Drosophila melanogaster: one gene and its partners. The protein of the gene in region 1 interacts with the protein of each later gene in a pairwise test. Each region holds a gene or a part of one and is shown on either strand. Other genes may lie near its edges. The genes, in order: CG13040, bol, Bace and CG15422.

Evidence for each region.
Region 2: the proteins of CG13040 (region 1) and bol interact in a two-hybrid assay, tested with the Drosophila melanogaster proteins (one large-scale study listed by BioGRID).
Region 3: the proteins of CG13040 (region 1) and Bace interact in a two-hybrid assay, tested with the Drosophila melanogaster proteins (one large-scale study listed by BioGRID).
Region 4: the proteins of CG13040 (region 1) and CG15422 interact in a two-hybrid assay, tested with the Drosophila melanogaster proteins (one large-scale study listed by BioGRID).

What each region holds. Positions count from the first base shown.
Region 1 is NT_037436.4:16,322,481-16,330,346, reverse strand, and holds CG13040 (uncharacterized protein), read left to right. Parts: upstream 1-3,589; 5' UTR 3,590-3,665; coding exon of another isoform or gene 3,666-4,040; exon of another isoform or gene 4,041-4,112; 5' UTR 4,113-4,578; coding exon 4,579-4,590; intron 4,591-4,655; coding exon 4,656-5,201; 3' UTR 5,202-5,264; downstream 5,265-7,866. Other genes in the region: CG33061 (uncharacterized protein), read right to left, coding at 1-97, 203-489; CG13058 (uncharacterized protein), read right to left, coding at 945-1,379, 1,468-1,479; CG13038 (uncharacterized protein), read left to right, coding at 2,619-2,630, 2,758-3,030; CG13039 (uncharacterized protein), read left to right, coding at 3,666-4,040; CG13059 (uncharacterized protein), read right to left, coding at 6,084-6,539, 6,605-6,616.
Region 2 is NT_037436.4:9,124,647-9,133,366, reverse strand, and holds the start of bol (boule), read left to right. Parts: upstream 1-3,011; 5' UTR 3,012-3,470; intron 3,471-8,053; exon of another isoform or gene 8,054-8,200; intron 8,201-8,720. UniProt on the Drosophila melanogaster protein: RNA-binding protein that plays a central role in spermatogenesis. Required for meiotic entry and germline differentiation, at the transition between G2 and M phases of meiosis I.
Region 3 is NT_033779.5:8,492,970-8,500,778, reverse strand, and holds Bace (beta-site APP-cleaving enzyme), read left to right. Parts: upstream 1-4,471; 5' UTR 4,472-4,510; coding exon 4,511-5,629; 3' UTR 5,630-5,886; downstream 5,887-7,809. Other genes in the region: Dh31 (diuretic hormone 31), read left to right, coding at 6,944-7,035, 7,687-7,809.
Region 4 is NT_033779.5:4,001,372-4,008,146, reverse strand, and holds CG15422 (uncharacterized protein), read right to left. Parts: upstream 3,164-6,775; 5' UTR 3,092-3,163; coding exon 2,777-3,091; 3' UTR 2,477-2,776; downstream 1-2,476. Other genes in the region: CG43773 (uncharacterized protein), read right to left, coding at 217-444; CG15423 (uncharacterized protein), read right to left, coding at 1,711-2,034; CG34176 (uncharacterized protein), read right to left, coding at 3,765-4,016.

The DNA of each region.
Region 1 (7,866 bases):
CTGGCTAATCGTAGACATGGCGGTGGCCAGGATGCGAAAGGCCAAAGTGCTGGTCACGGCGTGGGCCAGGTCAAAGGGACAGTAAAAGATGCAGTACCTTTTTGAGTGGAAACAAAGCTTCATATAAACAAAATAAATATGTTCCTCACGCACCAGTGAACTATGTAATTTTAATTTATTGAGCGCAATAGATCCCACTCACCAGATCAACGAACTGAGCATGACATCTGCGGTATTGCACAGTGGCTCCAATGGAAGACTACCCAAGAGCAGGTTGCCCAGTATATCGCCAGCGTAGTTCAGCAGCAGGTTGGCAAGCCACAGGACGAAGGGCTGCCACTCCAGCACCTTGTTTCCACCACCTTTTAATCTGAATGATCCTGCAGAAACTACCAGCTCGTCCCGCAGCTGCTGGGAGATCAGGGAATAGTGCAGGATGCGAAAGATCAAGTGATTGGGAAGCTGCCTCAGGATCAGCCGAGCATTCATCCCTCGATTAGCTAGCTGCCCGCACTCCTTTTCGGAGACTTCTGATATTGATATCAAATTTTGGCTTCTCGAATCTTGATAATTTGCCGTTTAAAAGTATTTAAACTACATTTAAAATACTTATTATATTATGAAGAGAATTTGTCTAAACGAAAATATTGACAAGCGAAACTTGGGTGTCTGTACTTGTGTGGATATTTGAATGCAAATAATAATAGTTGTCATGGTTAGCAAAAATTTGAATAGTGCAAAATATCTTGAGGCTTATGATTATTGCTTTATCTCCAAATCTCATTGGATCTCAAATTAAGTTGAGCCTTGATAAAAAGTATTCGAGTTTTATTCACAAGCACTTGAGTCGAATGTGAGTGTTAAGTGTTACTGCTTGATGTTTTAGTAGTTGAATTGAATAAAAGCCTAAACCAAAGCTTTAATTTAATATAATATATAGCACCTCAAACGGGTGACAAATTCCGATTCGTATGAGTGTTCAGGCTGCGAGGTCCTGGGATCAGGGAGGCGTAGCTAATGTTTCGCACTGGCTTAATCCTTGGCAGCATCTGGTGCACCACTGGATGGGCAGCGTAGGTGAGATGGGCGGGTGTCTGTCCAGAGATGACAGGCACCTCCTCCGCCTCCGCCGTTGCCGCCTGAAAGAACCTCTCCACCTGCTGTCGTTCCACTGCCGCCTGGTGATGATTAACAATCCTGGCAGAGGGAACGAGCAGCTGATGTGTTTGCTTTCGGGACTGCAGGGTTAGTGGCTCTGCTGAGGATAATCTGCTGAAGCTCTGGTGGGAAATGGCACTGGCCACCTGTCCGTTGCCATGCAGGATTGTCGTGGCTGCGTGACTGTGGCTCAGGCCCCAGGTGAATACGAGGCAAACAACCTGTTGGTCCGAAATGTGGGAATCAAAATCAGTGGAAGCTGGGAGCTGGTAGCTGGGGATCTCTGACAAAACTATGGAGATTACTCACCGTGATGTGCATGATGGTCACTTGAGTGGGCAACTAATTACCGTTAGACATGTGCCGCTGCCATTTATAGCCGGACTTGGCCAAGAGGACTCCTTGACCAAAGGGGTCGCCCTGTCTTGCCGCTAAGAGATTTATGGGCCATTTTGTGTGCAGCTAATTAATTAATCAAAAGCTACTCCAATACGACAGCCCCTCATGAGCTGCGTGCACTTAGAGCTTCCATTACGCGCCTCCGGCTAATCGGCTAACTGACTGACTGACTCAACATTGCCGGATTGCTGGATTGCCGGCGATTGTGCGAAGCCACGACGGCAACTTTAGCTATATAGAAACCTCTAGCGCCAAATTAGTATTGGTAGTGCCTGAAATACACTATAAATAAAGTGGGCATGTCGGTTTTATGTGCAACTGAAAGTTATAAAAGAAAAAGGGGATACCTGTTTGCTTAAGATGCTTAAGATGGAAAGTCTTATTAGATTGTTAGATTTAGAGTAATACCTGCATAGAGAGTATTCTCTAGTTGTTTTTTTTCAGCTGCCAGAGCAAACAAAATATCGAACCACAAAAGTTGGTGGTGCGGTGGGCGGGCGGCAGAGGTGCGAAGTGGAGCGGAGTGGATCAACCTTCAGCGAGTTGCGCAGACGCAGACGGCGTCGCATGTTGTAGGCTTTGTTGTTGCGGTGCTATTACTACAATATTTGCGGCGTTCGGCATTTATTTATTTATATTTGTTTTTTTTCGGTTTATTTCTTTACGTAAAGCTGCGTCCAAGTTGAGACACTCCCACAATTGCAAGATAACCGCGACTGCGCGCGTGTTTCCAACGCTTCGATCGCAGATCGCGCCGTTCTCCAGCGGCTGTGCGAGCGGGGCTCTACCACTGGTACCTATCCAATCTACCCCCTTGGCATGCTCCACGCCCGCCCCTGTTTTGGGCCAGCAACTGCTCCACCGTGATTTCATGGCACAGCAATTCACACAGCACTTCAGTTTGACTTTGCCACTCGCTCCGCCTTGTGTTTGTTACTTGAAAGGGGAACCTCCAGTCCTCGCTTCCATTCGATCCGTTCCGCCCACCTCAGTTCGTGGTCCGTGGTGTTCTCAGTGATTTACCCTCTCCATAGTCAACCCATTGGGCTTGGATCGATACCATGCGGCATCTGGTGAGTGGGACGAGTATCCCCAAACAGAGTGGGTCGCTTTAAGGGGCTGCCAATTGGGATAGACCTTTACTCATCTGGTTTGGAATATAATGACCTGACAAATATTTAAATTCTAACATCCCTTTAGTTGCTTCTGGCCTTAGTTTACATGGCTCTGGTTTTGGCCAAACCGGCGACGGAGGCGCCTCGTCTGCTCATCGATTCAGCGCCCTCAGTGGTCTCCTACCAGGGTTCCTCACAGGCCCAAACCCGCTTCGTCATCGCGCCCATGGGCCGATCATTGGGCTACGTGGAGCCCACCAATCTCAATCGAACCTTTCACACGAAGGCAACGCAGGAGGGAGGCGCCACCGGCTACGAGCAGCTCAATCTGAGTCCGGTCTACGTGCCGGGTAGCTAGGCAATGGAATCGCATAGTTTTAGTTAGTTAAATGTGTAAATAAAGGCAGCGTGTATAACAAAAAAAAAACTTTATGTGTAAGTGGTTCATTCTCACTAAAACTAAATCGTTATTATTTCGAATTAAGAATTTAATGTGTATCATACATCATATCATAGAAATGACTGCGTATTCATTCCTGTTGAGATTAAGTCAGTAAGCACAAGCTTGCAATATGAACAACCTTATCCCAATATTCACGGAATGCAAATCTCATGAAATGCGTGCATTCAGTTTTACTGACGTATATGTTCTACGAGCACGGCTTCTTATCGGCATCATAGAACTTTTCTTGGATTTTGCAACAAGCAGATACTTTTCAGAACTACATAGAAATTTTCTTGAACTTGAACTTCAAGTGTTTTGCGCTGCTGGTTTCTCGTTTTTCCCCTTCTTTCCCCTTCAGATGCATTTGGTCATGTGTGGATTTCAAATTTGTGTACAGCAAATTGCTTATTAATGGAAAATAGATATGAATTGTAATCAAATTAGGTCAATTCAAATATATAAGGAGCATCGGGCAGGCCTTGCTTAACCACTTTTTAAGTAAGCCTGATAAATAAGGGGAACAATACTAGTTAGCTGCAACGATAATCATGTCGAATACCAGTCGTCGCGATATTTGGGTGCCCAGTCCCGCCATTATACTGCATCAGATGCAATCCAACGAGGATGTGTCCGATGAATCAACTCTGGAATACCATGAGGAATCCAACCAGGCGTGGCGCGAACAGTATATGGCCAAAAACGTGGCCAGAATGGGAGTCGGTTTCGAGTTCGTGAACTCAACCTCTCGCTACATGAGCTCCTTGAGCAGCACCCAGGATGACGATACAGAGAACCACGTGATTGGTAATTCATCTTCCAGCACCACCTATCGAGTGGGGCCCACCATCCGAATCCCCCGTCTCGAAATTCAGTCTTACAGTTCCGGGTCGGATGACGAGAACCTGATCCAGCACCTGGCGTAATCCAAATGCCTATTATTCACAAAATTCCCAGTGCTTGAGAGCCTTATCCGATTTCTTCGTTTTCATCACCAGGATACTCCTGCCTGTCCTACCGCTGCCGCATCTGAGCTCCAATGAATCCGGACTGGAGGCGCGATGCCCTTAATTGTGGTATTTTATAGTATAAAATTAAGTTGCATTTCATCTTGTTTTGTTTGCTATCACGAATCGAAAGACCTTCGTCTAGGCTCTCTGAACCTGAACTAACAATATGTTTGTGGTATCAATCTTTTGGATTATTGTTCGGGCTTTGAAAACCTTTTTCGGACCAACGACAATTGATTGTCGGTTGATTTGCAAGTGAGGGTTCGCAGATGCTTAGTTTAGCGCCGGGTTCAAGTTCAATGTAAAGCAAACAAGTTTTTGCCAATTGCTCGTTAGTTCGTTTTTGCTGAAGGACAATCTAGCTGGCGAACTTTTGGCCATATAAAGCCGTAGACATAGTTTGAAATCAGCATCAGTCACTCGTCGACTTCAAACCTCCTCAAACCAAATCAACATGTTCCGCTTCGTGAGTATTGGAGTATGGAATTTGTGGATATGTTTCAGGATCTAACGTGCTGTTTTTAAATTCAGATTGCTATCTGTGCCCTGGCCACCATTGTCGCCGCTGCACCGGGATTCATTGAGGAGCACCCCGTGGCCGTCGCCCCAGTTGTGGCCAAAGTAGGTGCCGTGGTGCACAGTGCCCCACTGGCCACCTCCCACCAGAGCTTCACCCAGTACCACAACCAGGCGGTGCTCACTCCCGTGGTGAAGCATGTGGTGCCAGCTGTTCCCGTGATTAAGACTGTGGCTCCAGTGGTTCCTGTGGTCAAGCATGTGGCTCCCATCGTGCCCGTGGTCAAGCAAGTGGCTCCCATCGTGCCCGTGGTCAAGCACGTGGCTCCAGTGGTTCCCGTCATCAAGACTGTGCCCGTGGTGCACCACCAGACCTACGTCGCACCCGCTGTCCACCATGTGGCCGCCGTGCCCGTGGTGAAGGCTCTACCCCATGCCGTCTCCCACCAGAGCCACACCCAGGTGCACCACCAGAAGACCATCATCACCCCGGTGGTTGCTCCTGTGGTCAAGACTGTCGCCGTCGCCGCTGCTCCAGTGGCCCATGTCTACCATCATTAGGAAACCTTTTGCTTGAACGGATTGTTATGATTGCTTCTTTGAATAAATTTATTTGTTGATCGTAGAAATTGTGAAATTTTATGAATTGCTCTTTTTGTGGCAAAATTTTGAATAGCTGATCGATTTGATCCAATCCAATTAGCATTTAAATAATCAATTTGAATGACTTTTAGTGGGGTATTCATTAGTATTCATTGGCAATCTCGAGCCGGTAGCCGAGTGCGAAAACTTAAAAAAAATAAAAATACAACACAAAAGTAAAACTGCCTAGAGGCAGCACCAAAAATAAATTATGCAAACCAATTATTGTAGATCTTTTTTTCGTTTAATAAAAAATAAATGAATTGTGGTCGTGCTTTCATACATATGTATGAGTAAATGGCTCTTTAACTTTTACCAATGTTGAACATATCAATTCAAATTTGACATTATACATTGTTTACTCATTACTAGAATCAAAAGTATTTAACAGCTTAGAAGGAAGCGTTTCCGATCACATAAAGTATATATATTCTTGATATGCAGCACTAGCCGATATGATCTGTCCGTCCGTTTATCTGTCCGTCCGTATGAACTTTGAGTTCTCAAGATCTCAAAAGCTGACACAGTTTTGAAAATTGTTTTGATTTTTTTTAAATTTTACTATTTTTTGAACAATTTTCATTTATATGCCAATACCCTTACTAGGCAATGTAACACCTTTACTTTTTAATTAAGATCCAGGACCAGGTCATCGCTTGAAAACATATTTTAGGTAAATGTAGAAATTCATACATTTCGTACATTTCTAAAGAAATCGAAGTTAAATTAAATTTCAATTGATTTTTTTATTTTCTCGTTCAACAAATTTATCATAACCATATAAGTTCGCTTTCAATCGATTCACTTGTGGTAGGCGGAGTAGACAACTGGGGCGCTGTGGACGGTGTGAACCAGAGGGGCAGCTGGGATCACGGTCTTGATAACCGGAGCAGCTGGGATGACGGTCTTGACCAGTGGAGCGGCTGGGACGACAGTGTGGACCAGAGGAGCAGAGGAGACCACAGTCTTAAGGACGGGAGCGGCAGGGATCACAGTCTTGACCAGGGGAGCGGCAGGGATCACAGTCTTGACCAGAGGAGCGGCATGTACCACTGGGGCAGCATGAACAACCGGGGCGGAGTAGACCACTGGCACCTTGCGCACCAGGTTCACGTTGCTCTGGTGGGTGATGGCCGAGGAGGCGCTGGTGTCCACGTAGGCAGTCTTGGCAAGAATCGCCGGCTGGACAATCGAGTGGGTCTCGGCAATCAGACCGGGGGCAGCGGCGGCCACAGCCAGGCAAGCGAAGAAGGCGACCTGTGGAGGAGGATAATGGGTTACAGGACTCTCAGCACTCAGCTTCCATCTCCTAGACAACTCACGAATTTGAACATCTTTGGATTGGTTTTTTTTTGGGGGGTATGCTGTGATTGCTGAATCGATTGCAACTGCTGATGATGACAGGCCAAACGCGGGGTTTTTATAGTTGCCTAGTTTGGTCCAAAGCCCAATTGTTTGTCGCTAAGTACTTGGCTGAACTTGAGCCGCCAACCGGTTTGGGTTTTTAAGTAAAACACTTATTCGGGTTTTCAGTTTTCAGCTGGCTCTGGCTTCTAAGCGCTTATCAAAGACGCAGTTCGTTAACTGACCTAGGTTCCAGCAGCTTTGGCTCTGTGTGTGGGTGATTGTGAGGAAGTCGAGAAGTCGGGACAACAAGCCAGGCCAATCAATCGACAATGGGCCAAGTAATTGGCCTTAGATGCGGTCGCTTACGCAAATGAGACTGCCTGCAGATGGTGGGCTATCCCATTGAGTGCGTGGGCTATCCTTACATCCTTACATCCGTGTCCTTGCACTTCAATCGGCGACACTGCATCTTCCTCCTCGTTGGCCTTTAACAATCACTTGATCCGGCGCGTAATTGAGTTGCATTCTCGTCTTGGGGATACATCTCCATCTTGACTGCTGGATGTGTCTTTGTGGGCATGGGTTGCATCTCCCAGTGCTCGTTATGCGACCTTTTACCACATAACCACATAATTAATGAGTAAGCCAATGTGTGCAAATGTGTAAATACCATCGATGAGGTATCCAATAAGAGTTGCTCACATAACACCAGTAACATTGACAGCTGGAGGTAATCAAAGGTTTGCGACCAGGACAATTGTCTGGCAACGAAGGTGTGTAATTGCCGATTGGTCAGCAAATCGTATTCAAAGGCCTTGACGTGATTACGCGAACTCAGCGAATGGGCTAAGAATAAATGTGCCCTTTGCAAATCAATTGGTTATTTAATTCCAGGAATGAAGGATAGAATCTGTGGCAAGATGTTGTAATATTTTGAGGATATTCGATGGACTTGGTTTAAGAGCAAACCTAATTTATGGAAACTTGTTGAGCAAGAAATATTGCCGCATAAGAACAAAATAAGTTGGTCTATAAATAAAGATATTTCTATTACTCTTATAAATAGACCTTGAAAAGCCAATGATGATAGATCAAATGACAAATCAGTTTTTGAGTGCGTTACAAATCAACGAGGAACTTTATTAGTCACTTTTAATTCGTTATAGAAGTTCAGTACATTCTTAACTAATACAATATTCCTTTAAATTCAGTTCAGTAAGGAACAGCTCACTTTACT
Region 2 (8,720 bases), 7.2 Mb from region 1:
AGCATTTTGCAATTACTACAGACGTTTTATCAAAAATTTCGCCGACTATTCGCGGCACATAACAAGATTATGTAAAAAGAATGTTCCATTCGAGTGGACAGATGAATGTCAAAAAGCATTCATACATTTAAAATCTCAGCTAATTAACCCAACACTCTTGCAGTACCCAGACTTCAGCAAAGAATTTTGCATAACAACAGATGCAAGCAAGCAAGCGTGTGGCGCAGTTTTAACTCAAAACCATAATGGCCACCAACTCCCAGTTGCTTATGCATCCAGAGCTTTTACGAAAGGTGAAAGCAATAAGAGTACAACAGAACAAGAGTTAGCAGCAATTCATTGGGCAATAATACATTTCAGACCATACATTTACGGAAAACATTTCACTGTGAAAACAGACCATAGACCATTGACATATTTATTCTCGATGGTGAACCCCAGCTCTAAATTAACTAGAATAAGGCTTGAACTAGAGGAATATAATTTTACAGTAGAGTATCTAAAGGGCAAGGACAATCATGTAGCAGATGCGTTATCAAGAATAACCATCAAAGAGCTAAAAGATATAACTGGAAATATATTAAAAGTCACTACAAGATTTCAAAGTAGACAAAAATCCTGCGCAGGAAAAGAACAATTGGATTTGCAAAAGCAAACCAAAGAAATAGCTTCAGAGCCCAACGTATACGAAGTCATAACAAATGACGAGGTACGAAAAGTAGTGACATTGCAATTGAATGACTCGATATGTTTATTTAAACATGGAAAGAAAATTATTGCAAGATATGATGTTGGTGATCTTTATACTAATGGAATTCTTGATTTAGATCAATTTCTCCAAAGGCTTGAATTGCAGGCCGGTATATATGATATCAGCCAAATCAAAATGGCACCGTGGAAAAAAATCTTTGAACACGTTTCAATAGATAAATTTAAAAATATGGGCAATAAAATATTAAAGAATTTAAAAGTAGCGCTACTTAACCCGGTGACCCAAATAAATAATGAAAAAGAAAAAGAAGCTATATTGTCTACATTACATGATGATCCAATACAAGGAGGGCATACAGGCATTACAAAAACCTTGGCCAAGGTCAAAAGACATTATTACTGGAAAAATATGAGTAAATACATAAAAGAGTACGTAAGAAAATGTCAAAAATGCCAAAAAGCAAAAACAACAAAGCACACAAAGACTCCAATGACGATAACTGAAACACCAGAACATGCTTTCGATAGAGTTGTTGTGGACACAATTGGTCCACTACCCAAGTCAGAAAATGGTAACGAGTACGCAGTCACTCTCATATGTGATTTAACCAAGTACTTAGTTGCCATACCAATAGCAAATAAAAGCGCAAAAACAGTCGCAAAAGCTATATTTGAATCTTTTATTCTAAAGTACGGTCCAATGAAGACGTTCATAACGGACATGGGAACAGAGTATAAGAATTCAATAATTACTGACCTGTGTAAATATTTGAAAATAAAAAATATAACATCAACAGCTCATCACCACCAGACAGTTGGAGTAGTAGAAAGAAGTCATAGAACTTTAAACGAGTATATACGATCCTACATATCGACGGACAAAACCGATTGGGACGTATGGCTTCAATATTTCGTATACTGCTTCAACACGACCCAATCTATGGTACATAATTATTGTCCATATGAATTAGTTTTCGGTAGAACAAGTAATTTACCAAAACATTTTAATAAACTACATAGCATAGAACCAATATATAACATAGATGATTACGCTAAGGAGAGTAAATATAGGTTAGAGGTAGCATATGCTCGAGCAAGAAAACTTCTTGAAGCACACAAAGAAAAAAATAAAGAAAATTATGACTTAAAAATAAAAGACATAGAATTAGAAGTAGGAGATAAAGTTTTACTAAGAAATGAGGTAGGTCATAAATTAGACTTTAAATATACGGGGCCCTATAAGATAGAAAGCATAGGAGATAATAACAATATTACGCTACTTACTAATAAAAACAAAAAACAAATAGTTCATAAAGATAGATTAAAGAAATTTCATTCATGATTGAATTTAAACTTATATTTTCCTTAATCATTTATACAAATTTTCCATACACTACGTATATTTTTATCTTTGCATTATAAAATCAACTATTGTTGTTCAAACAAAAACACAAACAAAATAAAAATAAAAATAAAATAATTTGCATTTAATAATCAAAATAACTTCACTAGGTTACGTTATTTTTCAAAAGGAGGGAGATGTAGTATGTGCCTATGCAATATTAAGAACAATTAAATAAAATAGCATATTAACTTATGGCAGCACTTTGTTGCTATGTTTATGTTTATGCACGCAGTTAGGCCAGGGCGGATGTAACATGATCACCCACTCGAAGGCCACAAAGTATAAGTGCATTGCCCACTCGAAGGCAAAAAGTATAAGTGCATGGTCAGCATTCACACGCCGACCAAATACATATTACATACGTACATACATATCTCGCTCTCCCGATAAGCCTAGATATATAAGATATACATAAGAACGCCGCTCCGCTGCTGGCGTACCCGGCAGCGCAGCTACGCGGATTAGCCTAAGTCAAAATATATAAAAAACTGTAAAATCGGAGAGACTCTGTAGACGTTGAGCTGACAGAACCATTTCTGCCTACTCTAAAATCAAAAGAAGAAATTGAATAAATATATGTCAGCCCGACGGCTGCCTTCAACTTAAAACGGACTTGTGTTCTTAATTGGAGTTCATCATTACACGAGAGCAGTTGTAGAACTAAAATTGTTGTGCTATATCGCTAAACGGTGAACGGTAAATATTGAAGAGAGTTTTCCTGGCTTCAATTTTCCTTTGCAATCGCCCCCACCATCCTTGGAATTTTGGGTTTTTTGGAAGAGAAAAACACATGTGGTGTGTCGCCACAGTGTTTTGGTTTTTCTCGGCCGCCCAAGTAGACGGCGCGTAGTTTTTCATTTTGACGGGAGTTTTCCTTTCGGTCGTCGCCTTACACTCATTTCTAATTGTGATTCGTAGGAAGTAAGTTGTCTAGTGCTATATATATATATATTCAAGTAAAATTGTTTTAAATCGGAACACACAACAATAATATATACAAGTAAACACCACTAAATATCGGAAAAGAAAGAAGAGCAAATAATTAAATTACAAAAGAAACCAAGAGAATATCAAGCTAAATCCCATCATCCCATCATCCCATCGTTTTTGGTCTTCTGGTTCTTGTTCATCACCGACGTTATTGATATTGATATTGAATACTGGATATTAAGATACATATATACAAACGCATCGTATCTGGGATAAACGTTCATCACAAGGAATATTAATGATACGCAAAGGCTGTAACTGTAAACTGTGTCCCCTCTCACGTAAGACGTAACGTAAGGCAGCCTGTGGAAACGACGTAGTTTGGACGCAATCAGAAAAATCTCCAAGGAGGACGCAGCTAACGGTGAGTTTTCCTGATGACAGAACAGGGGATTGCTTTTGGGTGGGGGGAGGATGAATGTCACTCGCAGGGAAAATGAAAAATGCCAGGCGAAAATTCTTGGCCATGCAACTCGTTTGGCCGCTCTGCCTCTTTCGCTCCCGCGTACGCTTATGTGTGTGTTTATGCAGCGGAAAACGTGTATTCTTGAGAAAAACCAGAAAATCGAAACCCGGAATTGGGTCAGTATGTCACACGCCGTCCCGCTCCCACCGATTCCAATTCCGATTCCGATTCGAGCTGCTAGTCTGGCTAAAAACTCTGGCTAAAACGTGTTTCGTGCTTAGTCAATTTGTTCTTTTTCATCTAGTCGCAGCTGCGCTGCCGCAGTTGGCGTCGCTGCACGGCCACTTGACTAAAAGCGGCCTAAACAGCATCGCCTCCAGAATGCCTAAAAAACAAAACAACAACATGTAGTGCCGCTGCACGTGTGCGAAAGAGAGGGCGGCGAAAGGTGGGAAAAAGACAGAATGTCTGTCACCCGCGCGACCAACTTAAATACCCTGTACTTATGTGAGGGAATATTGTAGAACAGCTTATTAGTATAGATTCTACACAATAAAACCGTTTAATCATATCACGAAATATTGATAATTAGTACATACAAAACATATGTGGTTTTGTCAGCATAACAAATAATATTATAATAATATAAGGTCAATACATGAGATTTTTAGGCCCTAATATAATTTTCCTAGAGGCAGAACTGCTTTTTTATTTATTATTAATTGCTAGATTCTTTTATACAAAGATAGTTACTTTTTAACTTACACATGTATGTACATATGTATGTGAATGTACATATATGTATATGCTGAGTATCTCCTATTCGCCAGCTTATCTTTTGTGATGTAAAATGATAAATGGCTCGCTCTCCGACTTTCGTAGTTTTGCCTCTCTCTAGTTTTTCGGCCACTCGCTTCACTTGATCTTGCACTCGGATTTCGGCCGAGTTGCAGTCGACAGCGCTGTCAGCGTCGACGGCGACTGCGGCGGCGGCGCTTTTACCTTGAGCACGCCTGCACTTGTCACAGCCCCTCCCCCCGCCCACCGACTCACACGCCGTTTGAATTTGAACTTCTGAAAAAGCCAACACCTTTCGAAATTGTAGCCGCTTTTATTTCTTTTTCTTTTGCCTCCGAGCAGCGGCATTTTTATATTTCTGATGTTTGCTAATAAAATTATTACGACTTGGCCGACAGCGGCTGCTAATGCGTTTTAAGGTCGCCGACGCTGCTCTTGTTGATTTTGATCCAATAAAAAAATGTGATGATGCCCCGCTTAGATTTCTCGGTCCATTTAACATGTGTCCATTGGCCCAGGATCCGATTTGATTTATTTCAAAGTTATTTATTATACAGTCAGGCGAAAAGCAAAACAAACATGAATGGGGAAAATTGAAGGCAAATGGCAGACAGCTGGTGCTCATTTTCCGGGATGCGAAAAAGGGATAGAATTGGGATAGTGCACTGAGAAAAATCAGTGAAAGAGTTCATATCATATCATACTGCATATGTTTGCATCTCAAGAATCTCTTTGTATGAGTAGAGATCAAATGGATAAGGAAACAGCTTTCGTTCATGAGATGTCTATCTCTAAAAACTACTTATAGGTGGAAATTTATTCTAGACAAGGGTAGAGAGCACTGCAAATACGTATCCAAAAACAACTCCCCAGATAATTCATCATTACATCATAACCGTTGCGAATTCATGACTAATGGCCGATGATTTTTCTCTCTGTGGGGAATACGCGACGTCGTGGGATAGGGATAACAACACGGAAGAGGCTCCATTATAGGTTGCTGGTTTACTAGTTAACTGGGCTCCAGCCAAGGGAGCGAAAGGGAAAGGTGACGAACGAGAGGGAGAGAGCGAGAGAGCTAGGGGGAATCTGAATTACAGAGAGTGGGCGGGGGTGGTGACACTGACAGTGGAGCACCTTCGTCATCGTCAAACATTCGGGCTGTATAAGAGCAATAAATAATGCACACGAAGAGCAGTGATGAGAGCCAATGATATGGGAAAATATCGGACGAGAAATTCGACAGAGAGAGAGAGAGAGAGAGAAAGCGGAGAGAAATTTGGGGGGCGAGCGTAAGAGATTCGCCTTGGGGGGTTGATTGTGTTTAATTTTTGCACTTAAGAGCGCAAAAAGTGGCTTTGATTTTCCGCCGGCCCTTCTCACGCAGCTTGGGGCATGCCAACTTTGATGGCCGATTTGACCAACCCCCAGGAGGGAATTCCCAACTTGGCTCATTAAATTGATAACATTAAGCAGGCGATATTTAATTTGATTTTCTCCAGACACAAACACAATCTGATACACAAATTGTATAGATTCTATAAGTTATAGTTTTCTGAAGATTTAAACTTAAAACAAAATTACTGTACTGTTTTCATAGTGTAAAATACCTATGCTAATTTTAGTTTTCGTGGCACTTTTAAATATTATACATAAGCATGATAATTTGTCAAAGTTTCTTGTAGTGCATATATTTTTCGCAGAGAGCATCCACTCAAAAATATTTCCGTATTCTTGGCAACATTGTTGTTGGCGATGGGTTAGTGGGCGGAAAAGTGGGTGTTGCGTGGGCAGTCGCCCCACATTTGCATGTTCCCAACACGGCACACATTTTCTCGCTTCTCTGCGCCGCTCACGCGTCTCTCTCTCTCTCGCTCTCTCTTGCCATTTTTCTCGCTCTCTGGACGGATGCCCAAGTATATAGCCCAAAGTCCCAAATTGGGATAGGGATGCGAAGGCTATAGCGCTAACCTATATAATTTTTTGTGTTCCGCTTCTAACAACAAGCACATCCTCTGGTGGTGCTCCAACCAAAAAAGGAAGGAAATCAAAACCTCTGGCAGTTGAAGGTTCTTTTTTCCTACACACTTTTTTAAAGCAGTTGCTGATTTTAATATATATTTTTCCACGTTTGTGGGGGCAGAGCAGCAGCGTTTTTTTTTTTTTTTTGCATTGCTTCTGGCTTTGAATTTAATGTTAAGTATACGCATCAGTGAACTCAATTTAATTATCATGATTGTTTCGTCCGCTGCCTGTCTTTGCTTTCGCTCTGCTTTGCCGTTGATGAAATTCAAATTTTCCAACTTCACAAACAGACGCTTCTCGCAATTTTCCAACGTGTTTTCCGCTGTTTTTTTTTTGTCCAGCTTATGTAAGTGAAGCGCTGAGAGCTGATAAAAATGAAATGAAAAAAAATTACCTAGCTAGCGGACGGACGGGACTGGCTGGCCATAATTACGAGCTTTAGATTCGCTCGCCCTTCGCCCATTTTTTATCAGTGGCGTTATTTATGCGTCCTCCCACAATGACAAAGTTTCACGGAGTGGTTGATAGTGTGGGTGGGGGGGCAGTGGTGGTGGTGGTGGGGGGTGCGCCTTTGATAGACAACAATTGAGCATTTGAAGTGCAGCGTAGCGCAAAGAGAGCTCAAAAGTGGAAAATATGTGGAAAAACAAAACTGAACTAAACTGAACTGACTGACTGCTATTCTCGTCGCAGCCGAAAACCCAAACGAAAAGCAATTAAGTTGCCTCGGATCATTGCACAATAAGTAAAGAATCAAAAAGCTCGAAACATAACTGTGTTTGCTGCCCGTCCAGCCAAAACCGTTGACGTCGCTGCCAACTTCGCAGTCGCTGCCGACGCTGCACACTGCTTTCGGCCCATATGAATAACAATAGGGCCAGTTGGCTGGTCGGCCAGAACCCAACGAATTCGGTTAATTAGTATTATAACTAGAAGCCCCCCAAAAAATAGGTGTTGCTCACCACGCCTCATTGGCCTGGATTTTAAACAAAACCAGTCAGATTAGCACAAAGCAGATGCGAACAAAACGCAGTTTTATGAATTAAATTACTTTATTTAAGATTTTAACGATTAATTACAAGCGTAATTTAATTTAATTTAAGGTAAACATGGACAAGATACGAATTTTATTTCGATTTAATTTCCAGATCAGTTTTTTTTTTACTAATTAATATATATTCTTTTATATGAGATATGCTTGGAAATCAACAGAAATGTACTTTGTTTCCAGTTGGAATTATAGCCACAGGCATTTCCAATTGTCATTTGCCGAAGCAAAGGCACAGTGCCAATCAGATAATCGCAACCTTAACCGTTATTAGATCACTGTACAGCTGCGTCGCAGTCGTCGTCTCTTTCTAGGGCGACAACAACTCTAATCGGAACGGGAGATTATGTGATTGAGAGAGAGAGTGGGTTGTTATTGGCGGTGGGCGGTTGTGGGCGGTGGGTGGTGTGTTTAATAAATAGGCCAAATATGTAATATTGCTAAAATGTGTTTATTGTAATCTTTTCACACACACACACACACAACTACACAAACTTAAAACAACGCACGTGCATCGTTGCATCCCTTGGATTTCGCTCAAAGAGAGCAAGCGCGCGGCAACAAAGAGCGCCAGAGAGAGTGGAGCGAACTGTGCTGCCGCAGTCGCTGCCGCTGTCGACGTCGACTGCGCAGTTGGGGGCCCCCAAATCGGGAAACTATATTCGTTCGACGCTGAGTCGTTGTTCTACCGTCGTTGAGATTGCAACACTTCTCGATTTCGGGTTTTCGGAATTATAAAAAATAACAGAAATCCGCCGTTGCCGCCGCTCTCCGCTTATTTTCGGCCAAAATACACAACTCTCGCGTCGCACGTAAAGTAAAAAAAAAGAGTTCTACATTTTATAACGCTGTGTGCATGTGTGTGTGTGCGTGTGCCAGTTTTTCATGCGTTTTCTGCCGCTGCAACAACAATTAACAACAATAACGACAACAAACAGTTACCACATCGCCTGTCCTCTCTGTCTGCCCCAACTCTCTCCCTGTCTCGCTCTCAAGCGCTTTTTAAACTGCTGCCATGTATTTTTAAACTGCGTTTTTTTCGCCAAAAAAACCATAAAAAAATATAAAAACAAAACAAGAGGGAAAAGTAAAAAAGCAAGATTTTTATGTGCTGGCCGCTGACAAAAGTCAACGACTACTATTTTGGCCCGAAACAAGGCAAAAGGTTGATGTGTGTTAGCCACAATAAAAGCTGTACGTTTGTATGTATCAAAAACTATGTTTGTGTGTGTGTGTGTACGTATGTGAGTGTGGAAAATCGTGTGAGAACGTACTTGATTTTGGGCTCACAAGGCGGCAGTTTGGATTTTTCGCCAGAAAAACAAATTATTATGGCC
Region 3 (7,809 bases), on another chromosome or scaffold:
ATATCCTCCTCACCTCTGGGCCCACCTTGCGTTCGCCTTTTCCACCTCATTGTCTTTATGGTGCTCCTTACCACATAACCACCCACCCAGCTCCAGCTCCATGTTGGGTCAACAATTTTTACATTGTTTTCGGCATCCGAGAAATGCTCGGTTGTCTCTGCTCCGTGTCCCTTCAACGGGGACCAAGAAAACTTTCGCCCCAAAGTTCAGCTCCCGCGAGGAGCGGGCAAAAGTTTTTCCACAGTTCTTTTAACGCTACATAACCATTATAGGTTATACAATTATAATTACTGCTTGGTTTATGACGTGACCTTTTAGGCCAGCGTGTGTGAAGGATAAGTCGTTGGTTTGTCGTAAAAAAGAGCATACCCAAATGGTATAAAAAATACAGCGTGTTACAGCTTTTAACTAAAAATGAAACACCTTTCTAATCGTTATAAAACAATACTTTTTAGGTCTAAAAATCCATCGAGCCATACCTATAAATATAACTTGAATTAAAGTGTTATTGTTGAGATTTAAGTGCTGACGTCGCGTGCTATAAAGTGTCAATAATTGTGGCCCTAACCAGCTTAACTGACTCGACAACCAATCTAATCGGTTAAAGATTATTGCCTTGATTGATGTCACAAATCATTGCCTACAGATATATTCGACACTTGAGGTTGTCGCGTTTCTGATTTGTTGATATCTTCCAGATTTGCGCCAGATTCCAAGTAAATAATATATGGTTTGAACATCAAACTTAAGTTTGGGAAAACTCACTGCTGTCTGTTGACTTTGGATAGTTAAGTGCGAGCTCATTAGCAGTTTCCATTAGCCAGACTTTTGCACCTGGCATGGTGGAATGTAGTGTCCCCAAAGGCAACTCACCTGTTTGCGGACATTCAGCCGACTTAGGCGTAGTGGCTTTGCCAACTAATCAGTTAAGATGGCATCGCTTCCGCACACAATGCGCAAACCGCAAGGACGAAGGACACGGTTTGGCCGGATCGGGGCAAATCAAACGTCTGCCAACACAAATCCAAATCAATCTTCTGTCTCCGACTGTGCGGGTCTTGTTTGCTTAATTTGACAAACGGAATAATTTGATGTATATCTAAAATGGCAGCCAGGAACTCGGCGGGGTTACCACCTCCTCCTCCTTGATTTCATTGGAAGCCCAGCGGCATGGACACCGCAGAATCCTCCGGCCAATCCGCCGACTTTGTCACTAATTCAATAAGCATCCAATTACAACGCGGCGGGTGTGGCGCTCTCTTCCCCTACCCCCTTCCCCATCCAGTGCCAACCCCCTTCCATGCGTATACGCAATTTTCATTTGGTATATGAAAATTTAATGCAACTAAAAGTGCCTGTCGTGGCAATAATTTCCCCTAATTATATGGCTTTTCCTGCCGTTAGCAGGCTTTGCTAAATTACCTACAATTTATTCAATTTTAGGCGTCAACGGAAACAAAATTAATGCAACGCTAATTAAATAATGGCAAAGGTAAAGGGCTTAAGTTAAACAAACTAGCTGATTTTAATAATATTTTTATTTCGAGTCTAAAATAAACAAATTTTAAGATAGAGGTATAATATCATTCTGAAAAAATCTATTCTTAGATGTGTGGAACTATTTTTGGTAGCAATCCAAATAGAAGACGTTGATTGGGGAATGATAACTTCTCCAAGCGATATACCCATCAAAGTCAATTAATACTGGGTATTGGGATTAAAGCACGTGCTTCCATTTTTAATTGTCGATGCTGGAGGAAGTGGGCTACAATCCTTAGCCCTGGCCTTGCGATTGAATGACCCAAATTCAATTTGCCTGGTTTTGTGTCCAGATTCCAGGTTCGCACCACGAGCACCACCTCCGATTGCCTCACCCAGCAATCATAAGTACGTTTCCAGTTACCAACGCAGCGGGCCACCGAGCGACCCACAAAAGCCGGGGGCTCACAGGGTGCGAGTGTGTCTTGTGTTGTTTGGCCACAATCAAGGCAATGCAATTTCAATGTCTGACTCTCGTGTTACACTTTAGTCCAGGCTGCAGGCCCACCTACCAGCTCCCACCATCGCCATAGCCATCGCCATCCAGACTGCCACTTGGCCAAGGTGAGAGTTTTGCGTAGCAGGTGGGTGTGGGGTGGATGGTTGTGGAGCTGCCAGCCAGGAATCTCATCTCGTTAGACAAATGCCAGTGCTGACTGGGCAACACTTGATTTGGGTTAGCCACCAAGCAGGCCAAACTGTTTGGCCTATTCCGCTCGATGGGATTTGAATGCGGCGGCCACTGCGGGAGATGGGTTTTCATACTCGAGGCGGGTTTCAAATGTCAGATTAAGTAGTCAACTCCTGATTGCTGGACATCCCTTTGAAGTTCCTTAGAACAGCTTGTTAGGCGATAACATCTTCGGTCCGGAGTTGTTCGTTTGTAAAAGGCAATCTTTAAAAAGCTCTTATGAATGAAGCTCCTATGAAAAAACATTATTTAGTTCCAACTGTAGGAAGAAAATAAGCAATCAGAATTAGTATTCCATTTATGAGCCCTAGCAAATGTTCTTTTCCCCGACAATTCATTTAACTGAAAACATTAACTGAACTATTTTCACTTGTTTAATTTATCTGTCATCGCAGTCGGGTTATATTTAATGTGCTTATAGGCCAAAGTTCGCTGGCTAGTGTTGATTTGAAACATCAATATCTTGCTCGATTAATCGCCTGGCACTTGACTGACTCCGAGGCTCATAAACCACGAGTGGGTGCATCGGAGATCGAGCAAGCTGTGAAAATGCAATCGGCGGAAAGAATTCGATGTGGAGTAGAAGAAGGATGAGTAGTGGGTGCTCCTGCCTGAACGAATCGCCCACCTATTGATTACTCGGAGGCAAATGCTCACTGACCGAACCGGATACTATCCATAATAGCAATTTATTTGTTTTCTGGCTCTGCCTCTGTGCTGTATGAAATATATTTACCAATTGTGAATGTTTGCTGATTATTTTTGGTTAAATATTATTTGCATCTCGGTCTAAGCCTTTAAGCCATGTCCACGCACAGCAAATAAAAATAAATCGAAATTCATACAAGCGCACACAATTCGGTGAGTTGTTCGGTTAGTTGGTCAGCCACCCCGGGCGTATACTTTATTTATGTATTTGCCGACTACAATCAACTCCAGTTCAATCCACTCGCGTTGGGCCATAAATCAAAAAATGATTGATAAACGGTTGAAGGGGACTGGGCATGGGCGCTATTTGAGCAGCCTAATAATTGCACATGAAATGTCAACGCAGGAATGCGAGAAACAAAAAGCAGGCGGCCCACGTCGCTCGGTAATCATACGCCCCGTGTGCCCAGTTACCAGTATGGTTACCGAAATTGCCCGACGGTGCGTAAAATCCGTTGATTACTTTATTTTGGGTCGAAAGTGCGCAACGCACTCGCCCGTGGACACCTCCATTTTGGCCCCTTGTCTGTTCGTGTGTTACTAGCCCTCGGCGATAAGAGCGGATGCTCTGGACCACAATTAACCTGTGGCTGACCACCACACAGAATCACCACCCAGAAATCCTCACATTACTGCTCAACATCCCACCATCCCACATGTGCAAACAGTCCCTGCGCTGGCAATAAAACGCAATCGAAACCATGAATCTCCTTTGTCCTTCTTGGCCAATTGAAGTGGCATTTTATTTGATTTTAAATCTGATTTCAATAGGGTCTTAAGCTTAATGGTAGTAGGAGCCATGGCAAGAAGATGACTGCCGCCGGACCTGCATTTGCTTTTTTATCTGCTAAAACGAAATTTATATTTTTATATGACCGAGCAAATAGCTGGTGAAAGTGCTCGAGTGTAACCACTTGATTGGAAGGGAATTTAAGCCGAGGTGAATGCGTTTCCTCTTGGCTGAAAACGATCAAATTCCCACGTTTCCTTAAATTAACCAATTGAAAACAAATTCATTCTGGTAATGTGAGTTAATGCTCGAGCAATTATATCATCATCCTTAGTTACTAAATGATTTGGCTTTTTGCTAAGCAGGGGTTTTGCCCAATATGCCTGGTGAATTTCCCAAATGCATGGTTTTACCCTAAAACCCTAACACACTTATCGCTATCTCTAATTTATTGGCTTATCTGTGAGCTTAATCATGCAATGATATTAAAACAAATTACCATGAAGAGTCACTTATTATTATCGCGTAATGTAAGCACTATCAAAGTCACTCAAAATGTCCAATCATAACAAAGTCCAGCTGCGTATTGGAATTTAGGATTCACTTCTTGAGAACGCTATCGAAAAGATCGAAATATCACCTCACACCTGAAATGATAATATGCCAGATTATAAATATCGAATGCCGGACGAGCATTAAGAACTCATACTGCTTAAGACTGGAGTGGTCAACAAATCTTATCACCGGACAATTTGGGCTGTGATTGATGGCAAGTGCTATAAATTAGACCCGCTACACCGATCGTCAGTTAGTCGAACTCGAGTAGACTAGAAACCAAGAGAATGTTCAAGACCATCGCTGTAGTAGTGCTCCTGGCAGCCCTGGCCAGTGCCGAGCTCCATCGCGTGCCGATCCTCAAGGAGCAGAACTTTGTGAAGACGCGTCAGAATGTTTTGGCCGAGAAATCCTATCTGCGCACCAAGTACCAGCTGCCCTCGCTTCGCAGCGTGGATGAGGAACAGCTGTCCAACTCGATGAATATGGCTTACTACGGAGCCATCTCCATCGGAACTCCCGCTCAGAGCTTCAAGGTTCTGTTCGACTCAGGCTCCTCGAACCTGTGGGTGCCATCGAACACCTGCAAGAGCGATGCCTGCCTGACCCACAACCAGTACGACTCCAGCGCCAGCTCCACCTACGTGGCCAACGGCGAATCCTTCTCCATCCAGTATGGCACTGGCAGCCTAACTGGCTACCTGTCCACCGATACCGTCGACGTCAATGGCCTGAGCATCCAGAGCCAGACCTTTGCTGAATCCACCAACGAGCCGGGCACCAACTTCAACGATGCCAACTTCGATGGCATTCTCGGTATGGCCTATGAGTCCCTGGCCGTGGATGGTGTGGCTCCTCCGTTCTACAACATGGTGTCCCAGGGTCTGGTCGACAACTCCGTCTTCTCGTTCTATCTGGCCCGCGATGGCACCTCCACTATGGGTGGTGAACTCATCTTCGGTGGCTCCGATGCCTCTCTGTACTCTGGCGCTCTGACCTACGTTCCCATCTCGGAGCAGGGCTACTGGCAGTTCACCATGGCTGGATCCTCCATTGACGGTTACTCGCTGTGTGATGATTGCCAGGCTATTGCCGATACCGGCACCTCCCTGATCGTGGCTCCCTACAATGCTTACATTACCCTCTCCGAGATCCTGAACGTGGGTGAGGATGGCTATCTGGACTGCTCAAGCGTCAGCTCCCTGCCCGATGTCACCTTCAACATCGGTGGCACCAACTTCGTCCTGAAGCCCTCGGCCTACATCATCCAGTCGGACGGCAACTGTATGTCCGCCTTCGAGTACATGGGCACCGACTTCTGGATTCTGGGCGATGTCTTCATTGGCCAGTACTACACCGAGTTCGATTTGGGCAACAACCGCATTGGCTTCGCCCCAGTCGCCTAATTAACGATCCGCAATTACGAATCAATAAAGAAACGAGCTCTTAGAATTTTCTACCAAATGTCTGGGTCACCTCAAGTGGGTCACCTTTCGAAGGCTGAAGGTGTAACAATCTAATCTGTTTACAACTTTGTAAGTGGATAGGTTGTGAGTAAGCGACTCCAATTGCGTTTTACAGTCATGGCTATTTATGCTTATCTGCATTTCATATAATAAATGAATTACACATTGGACTTTCTGTAAATTGTTCGAGAATGTATAAAGTATATATAATTTAAGCTATCGTTTACGTAGAAATACCACTCCATTTATTTATTTATTGACACTTAAGGAGACTGAAGTGGTTATCCAAATGTGTTATCCGGTAGTCCGCAAATTCCCAGCTGGCTGTGGGATAAATGTTGACTCCGGACCCAAAGGAGATGGTGTTATGAAGGCAATGACAGAAGCCATCAGCTCCGGGAGCCAATTCATTTGTCCAGCCTGTTGGCCGGGCAATGATGTGTGTCACCGGGTGTCAAGTGGGGACTCTGGTAGCCCGGGGGAATGCCACAGATGTCAGGTATACTGCCGGGGTGTCAAAGGATAGCCAGTGATGTCAGAGAATTGTGCGGGTCTATAGTTTTGCAACTGCAAACACAACAGTGACAACACCCATTTAGGAGTAGCGGCCGAAGGATGCAGGGGCATCCGTGTGCGATGACAGGAAGTGGAAGTGCAGTTGAGCAATGCAAAAAGTGGAGGTCTTGTGAAACTCGGGACAACTCGTGGACAACAGGTTATATTGGCCCTGCTAGCTAGTTTCCAACCCAAATGAGTGAAGCAGGAAGGGGGGGAGAAAACAGGAAGGGTAGCCCAGATTGGGACTGCTTCGTTGAGCAGTTAATGAATCACTTAATGGAAAAACCTGGACGCCACTCGACTTCCGTTGTGGGTGGAAACTCAACTCACCTCGCCATCGACTTCTAATTGATGTTGACCTTAGAACACTAAACCGCTTGGCTTTTCAAATAGTTTATGAAAGCACTGGAAAAGCGCACGAAGTTTATGGCCTCAAAAATATGTAAAATGACTTTGTATATGTTGAAGACAAAACTGTTATAGACATTATTAAATAATAGTGATAATAAAATAATACTACATTTTATATGATATGATAATGGCACAATTTTCAGTGTTAAAGGTGCGTTCGTCACTAGCCTTTTACCTCGTTAATCGTCGTTTTCATTGGAATGTCTTTGCTTAAATTGCAGTTTTCCAAGCTTCGATTTTTATTAAATTATTTCTTAAATTCTTGCAGGAGACAGCCGCACAAAGATGACAAACCGATGCGCTTGCTTCGCCTTGGCCTTCCTCCTCTTCTGCCTCTTGGCCATCTCGAGCATCGAGGCAGCTCCGATGCCCAGGTAGTTGTACCCAATCACCTAGTTGTACCCCAACCACATGCAGACATATCCTTTCCAATTTGGCTGAACACATACAAAAGGACATAGCCTAATTAAATTCCGGCACTTAAGCTGCAAAAACCGAAAAATGTGCCACACAAATATTTGAGGCAAGCAATTATCCCACTGAGTATGAATCTTGCCCATGTGGGAGATGGAAATATACTTAGGCAGCTGAAAAATAAAATATATAAAAGAAAACGCTCACATGGCGAAGGAAAATTTTCAATTAACAAAATGTAAACGTTGACAGAAAAGTGTGTCAAAAATTGCAGTACTTGGCCACACCACTTGAGTCGTTGATGTAGATGTAGCATATTCTAAGGACATGCCTTATGTGTGGTATGGTTTCAAACTCAATTTCCCTTCCATCAAAGTAACTATTAAAAATTCATTGACCCTGGCCAACTAATTAGCAATTGCTCGAATGGAAAATGCTCCAAACATTTGGGCTTTAACATATAATTGGGTTTTCATGCAAATGAAGATTTTAAGCCAGTCGAATGTCAAATTCAACGGGGCCAACGTAATTAGATATCCTGTTCAGCCGCATTGTATTGTATAAATACGAACAAATTCCCCATCTAATTTTCCATTTCGTTGACTTTAAAATAGCCAATCCAATGGAGGATACGGTGGCGCTGGCTATAACGAACTGGAGGAGGTGCCCGACGACCTACTCATGGAACTGATGACTCGCTTTGGACGCACCATCATACGGGCTCGAAACGATCTGGA
Region 4 (6,775 bases), on another chromosome or scaffold:
CCACAAAATCCAATAGCCATTTCCCAATATCAGCAGATTCTTCAAAGTTAAAATTTTAGAGATAATACAAACAAACTTAAGTTTGATCAAAAAATCATTCAGTAAATCCACAGCTTAAAGAATGTTATAATACTATTTTTCAAATGTAAAACAAAGGAAAATACTGTTTCGATTTCTCAAAAGTTTTATTATATTTTGAAGAGCATATTTTTCCATTTATTGGGTGGACACAGCAGCGACTGGTACAAATGTAGTAGTGGTGGTGATGTTGTTGTTGGTAGCAACTGGAACTGCAACCTGAGTGGGAACAACCACAACATTTCGGGACATCATCCTGCGGCACTGGCGACAAGGACGGCCCCAAGCCAGGGGATTTGCATAGTACAGGACTCCTCGAGGATGGTTGCACTCGGCGCACTTGAGGTTGATATTGATGTCGGACATGGCTCTGTCTTGTCTTGGCTCTAAGTTGTCTCTGCTCGACTGCACTTCAATTTGGCTTTTAACTTTAACTTATAACCTTTTTATACAGCCAGTTTGAATGCGATAAGAAAAATTGAGGACTCGCTTATCACAACAGTGATGGATCAAACTCGTAATTCTGCTGCAGCAGTTGTGATTCAATCTCTCAATCCCTCGATTTTCTGTGACTCATATGTTCTAGGGATGTTGAACTTTTCATTCTAGAGTGACTCATCATAGACCTCTTCTTAAGTGGTTTTTTAGGATACATTTTTACTTGCTATTCTCGATAGTTTAAGAATCCAAAAATAATTATCTTGACTCTTCTCTTCATGAGTAATTAATTCTTTTTTAGATATCAATTCCCGAACTCTTATCATGAAAAATATTTTTCATTTGTATACATATACATTTTAAGCCATAGTTGGATATGCAATTCTTATTTAAATACGGCAAGAATGGTATAACTTTTCATATAAAATCATAATTCAAATTTTACTTTGAGTCCAGCAAGATCTTTTATATTTATTACGCCATTTAAATTGAGAAAACTATTGCCCAGTTTTCGTTATAATAAAGCTTAAAATATGTTTATGTACTGACAGCACTAGTTGTACAATAATTGATAAGCTGGCTACGACCAGAGGACATCAATCATTTCCCACCAGTCAGATAGCAAAACCGAAGCCAAATAATATATACAAAAACCACAAAAAATCCACGAAAGCAATTACCCGTACGGAAAATAGAGAGTGGAAAAGGAATCATGACCATGACCATTGTTTATGTCGTTCGCCTGCAGTTCAATTTTCATATTTGTACCATTAACATTGCAAATAAATGCAGGCATATATATTCGCAATATGAAAATGTGTCACAGCAAGAACCGACATTGAAAACCAATCAAGTATATTTCAATTAAGGTAAAGTGCATTTAAGTTATTTAAGCAAATATTTCGAGCGGATTTACAATTGCATTGGCAATAAGATTGAGGCAAATTAAAATGTCAGCTTACATGAAGAAATATGTGCGTAATATATAGTATACTATAGTATATAGTAGTATAAACACGAAATTCAAACATGAAGGAGTGAACTGTTTATTTATTTTTTATTTTTATTATACAAGAGCTTAGGTTTTGTAAAAAGTTAGTTTATAGTTTCTATTTGCAGAAATACATGAAGTTTAATAAATATTTTTAAAGTTTTTTACTTCGTTGTTGAACGACGGTCATATGGAGACCACGCCTACCACCTGGGCGGTGGGGGCTGCTGAACGATGATGACCTCTTCCCTGGGAGGTGGACGCCGACCGCCGATGTTGAACTCGATGAAGGGAGCTCTTGGTGGCACCACATCCACCTCGATAATGGGTCGTGGTGGTGGCGGCTGGTAGACGGCAGCTGGTGTGATGACCTCCACCCTGGGCGGTGGTGGTGGATACCGGCCGCCCACTCCGATCTCAATCACTGGTCGAGGAATCCTTGGCGGCACAATGTCCACCTCTACAATTGGCCTTCCACCGTGATGGTGATGATGGTGATGACGACGTTCCTCCTCGTAGTACGGCATTTTCTTCAGAAACTATCCAAGTATTGTATCCTTAGTGGGTGAAGTGAATGCCTTTGACTGCTTTCTCGAACTGAACTTGCTTCTTCGCCTGCTTAACTATTTAAGTCAATTTTTATCGCTAATGAGGGGGAATTTTTTTTCCTAATTTTGTTATGTGCGTTTTGCACAGTAGCTTAGTTGGTTATCTTGTCAGGTGGAATAAATGTGTTTTTTTCGATAAAAAAAAAATAAAATTGATAAGTGCCATTTGATAAATACGAAATTCCGAATTGAATTTCATGAGGAGAGTTCAAGGTTTCCATGAATCACAATTTTATATTTAAGAGGAAGGACTTAATTCCATGCTTCTGATTGATGACTCACACTAAATTACATAAACATAAATAAAATCGATAATGCAGTATTTAGAATATTTTTAGAATTAAAGACGGGTAGGTTTTTTGAAGAGCAAGATATTTTATTTATTTCGTTTTAAGGTTATATAGCACAATTATATTTTCTTTGAAACGGTTAAAGTTAAATTCCAGTTTTGTTTTTTTGTACCTTCCTCTGGTTATTAACTTGTTAACTTTGTGGTGCGTAATGTCAAGACCATTGCACCATTTGCGTTGTCATTTCAACTTAAGATTAGGACAAAGTGATATTTGTTTTGATTTCTTGTTATCTATCCCTTCCTTCACTCCATCGATAGTATATTTTTTTTTTGTTAGTGGTGATGGCTTCGTTTCCATTCCGACCTCGTTCACCACTGCGGATACGGTGGATTGTTGTAGGGCTGCTGATACTGGTACTGATACTCGTACGCCTGCTGCTGCTGCTGCGGATAGTATCCATTGGTGGTGGCCACCGTGACGCCGCCGTAGGGTTGCGGCATTATCACCTGTGTGCCGGGCACATAGGTAGCCGCCGGGGTCATGTAGACTACCTCGGCGGGCCGAGGCGGAGGCGGCGGCGGATAGTAGCCGCCACCCCAACCGGGAACCACATCAATTTCGATATTTGGACGACCATGGTGATGGCGAGGAGGATAGCCACATGGATCTTCATAGTACCGCATAGTTGATTAACTAGCCAAATAATCAACCAGCCAACCGAACCAACTTCACCACCCAGCAACGCGTTGAATACTGGAAAGTCCGTGGCACAACACGTCTAGCTCGAAACAAACTGGAACTGCGAAGCTCCATCAATCAGGGTTTGTGGGAATTATTCCAGTGGTTAGAGGCAAAGATAAGATGGCTTAGTCATTCGACAAGGTCTGATAACAGCGACCGGACAGTTGTGCATTTACAGGTGATCGGGTTTCGCTATTTTACTCGCATTTTGTTTACTATATTAACTGATTCCGGCTTATCTATGGGTAACGCGTTATTATTTCTGATATAGGAGCATAGAAGCATTGACAGAGCATTGGTGAAAATGAATTAAAGTTTTGCTAGACATTAACAAAACAACAAGTGATTGCCGTCTAAATTAACCAGGTGTTCCGATAAAGACTTAAAAAAAAAAAACACGGATTAGAGATTTTGATAATAAAAAGAGGGAGTGTGTGTGATGGAATCAACTCGATTGAAACTCAACCATTACTCATGACAAATATGCAAAAAAACTAAAAACTATAAACTAAAACTTAGTTTATAAGGTTATACTTTATTGAGGACATATAGTTGTTAAGTAAGGCTACGTGGTATAAATTCATTGTGAAGGATTTTACAGATCAAAGTTCCTTCTCAATACTGTGGATTGTGGTAGTGGCTGCTGCCGGGCGGTGGTGGTGGTGGTGGATTTTGGTAGTACGGTGGCGGAGGCGCCTGTTGCACCACCATGACTGGTGGCGGTGGCGGAGCCTGCTGCTGCACCACCACAACTTGGGGTGGTGGGCGGTGATGGCGGCGTGGCCATGGTGGTGCAATCTGTACCTTAATCACGGGTCCACGACGATGAGGCGGTCCGCCGCAATGATCGTGGGGTGGTGGTGGCATAGTGGTGCACTAATCTTCTGTAGAAAGTCCGTCCAAATGTGTCGACTTATCGCTGGTAACTGAATTAAGCGAATGCCCAACTCATGGGACTGACTAACCAAACAAACGCCAAAATATTTGCCGTCATAAAAAAGCTCAATATCAGCATTTGCTGATAGCGAATAGGTAGGTAGGTACTCTTAATTATTTCTATTGACGAAAGTATTGCTTCTAGAGCAAAGTTATCGATAAATAAACTGAAAATTGGCAAATGGTAAAGCTTTTTTCGAATAAGCTTTTCAATTCAAATTTGAGCCTGCATATCAATAGATTTTCCTCGTTTCTTTAATGAGTCATGTTTGGTTTTTTCCGGGGATTTCTCCTTAACTTACATATAGTCATGTAAATACTTGTTTAAAGTTTTAAAAAGAAATAAAGTATTTCGTTGTCACGAAGAAAGGAAATGAACCAACGTGCAAATATTTGTATTTGGTTAAATGCGATTAAATTCCTTAACTCTAGTGAAAACAAACTTTAGCTTGAGAAAATGTTGTCAAGCCACAAATATTTATCCAATTTTCAGCCCCGAAAAATTCCCAATAATTCTTTACACATTTTCCTTAGCCGGCAAATATTTGGCAAACATTTGCACGTCTATTATGCAAAGTTTGCAGACACGATTTTGCCTCGAGGGGCGACGTGGGTAAATATTAAATGTATGGATAGAAAAACATGGTAATTTCTGACGGTCAATCAAGAAAAGTCTCTCGGGACTCTCTGAATCTCAATCACTTGATCAAATAAAATTCGGAATATTCGATTTGACAACCAGGAGAGCGGCAGCCTTTTTGGCTGTACTTAATTGAGTGGTTCGTGCTGCATTTCGCATTTCATTCGCTCTTTGAATTGTCACTTCGATCAAGGAACTGGGGTTAAGGGTTACGGCTTAAGGGTTAAGGGTGCTTGCCCTAAAAAGTTAAACATGCACAAAGTGGCAAACGAGTTTCGGGCAAAGTTTTCAACTGACGCAAAAGAAGGAAGGAAATGAGTGCCGCATAACGCGCAACATATCGACTGAGCTTTTGTGGGCGCGCTGCGTTGGTGGGGCGTGGCAGGCCGCATGACAGTCACTCACTTTAGTTATTATAGCCATTAAAAGGAAATCCCAACTGGCTGTAATGAAATCACTGTCCATAGCAAAAACGATAGTTTAAACGTAGCCAATTCACTTTGGGGATAAAAAATAATGTAAATTTTCAAGACCTCTGAAGAAAAAGAAAATTTCTCAAGCGAATTTACTCGAAAAAGTGTATTAAGTGCGTCATCTTTGAAGCCTCCGCTTTTTCCACATGTATTTTTTAACTCCTTGTGCATATTTTAGGAAATGAATTGAGTCCTGGCAAGATAAAATGTCTCTGTCCCCGAGTGAAGAATCAAAATCAGAAAATTGGGGCTTGGAATCGGGAGTTGAATCTGGATCTGAATCTGCAGCTGAAACTGAGGCAGCGCCCTCGAATCGATAACTGTCAAAAAATAAGCCGGCAAGCAACATGCAAGACAGGCGCATAAGGGGGCGTGGCAAAAGGGGTGTTGCAAATGGATGGGGATGTGGTTGGGGGGATGGTGGTTCTGGTGGTTTTAAGCGGTGGCGGCGGCGTCGCACAATTTAAATATTTATGGCGCTCCGCTTGGTGCACAAGAAACGGAACCAGGCACACGGCATAGCCAAAAAACCGTAACCGTAAGCCTAACCAAGAAACCAGGAAAAGCAGCTATCCGAAATTTCGCAACCCGTTTACTGAGAGAAATCAAATGAAAGTATTTGCAAAATTCAGCTTCGCACAAAAGTCCAAATTATTGTAATTATTATTTTTAAAGGGATTTAAAATTTTGAAAAAAAAAATATCGGTTTTATACAGAATAACAACATGTACGTTGAAATGTGTATAAAGGATTTATGAAAAAATTGATTGTATGCATTTTTCTTCAGTGCATACCACCTTTACGAGGCTTCTTTAGCAGCGGCGTCAGAAAACGCATTTCCTGCTCATGTCATGACATGCAAGTGTGGCTGGGAAATCGCGTAACGCAGCAAGAGTTGGCAAGAAAATCGGGAAAGTTGGAAAATCGGTTGGTGCAGAAATGGGTTACCCAAAAGGAATCATTGCTTTTGTCGACATGTCATGGCAATACTCGTATCTGAAAAGTGTTTTCGGGGTTGGGCTGAGATGTTTTTCGAACATTTTCAAGAACATTTTATTGAGCTACCGTTTTCAGGCACTCGCTGCAAGTTGATGATTGATAGAGTTGTAAAACTGAAGACGGAAAGGCAAAATGCTGCCAGAGGTGAGGGATGACTTGACAGTTTTGCTAAACTCTTGAAATCTTGCAGCGTAACTACGAAAATGTTGTCGAATATTTTTACAATTAGGCAATGTGCTTAGCATATTCAATAATTTAAATATTTTTAAAAATATTATTAAAAAAAGAATTTACATATTTTTACATTTTTGAACTCTATATTGTAAATTAAAACGGTTTCTTATGCACAATAGTTTTAGAAGCACTGACGCTTGCGTTCCTCTCAACTTTTAATTGAAATCAGCTCACAGTTTTACAGCCATAGGTGTACACCAGCAACCGCCACTCCCCCTTACGCCCACAAGGCCATTAAGGAACTTGTTAATTTGCATTTTCCATTTCCATTTGCATGAAAATTTGTTTCTTTTCGCGAGGCGCAAAAATTAACCAGCGAAAGAAACAAAAATGAGGCAAAAGTT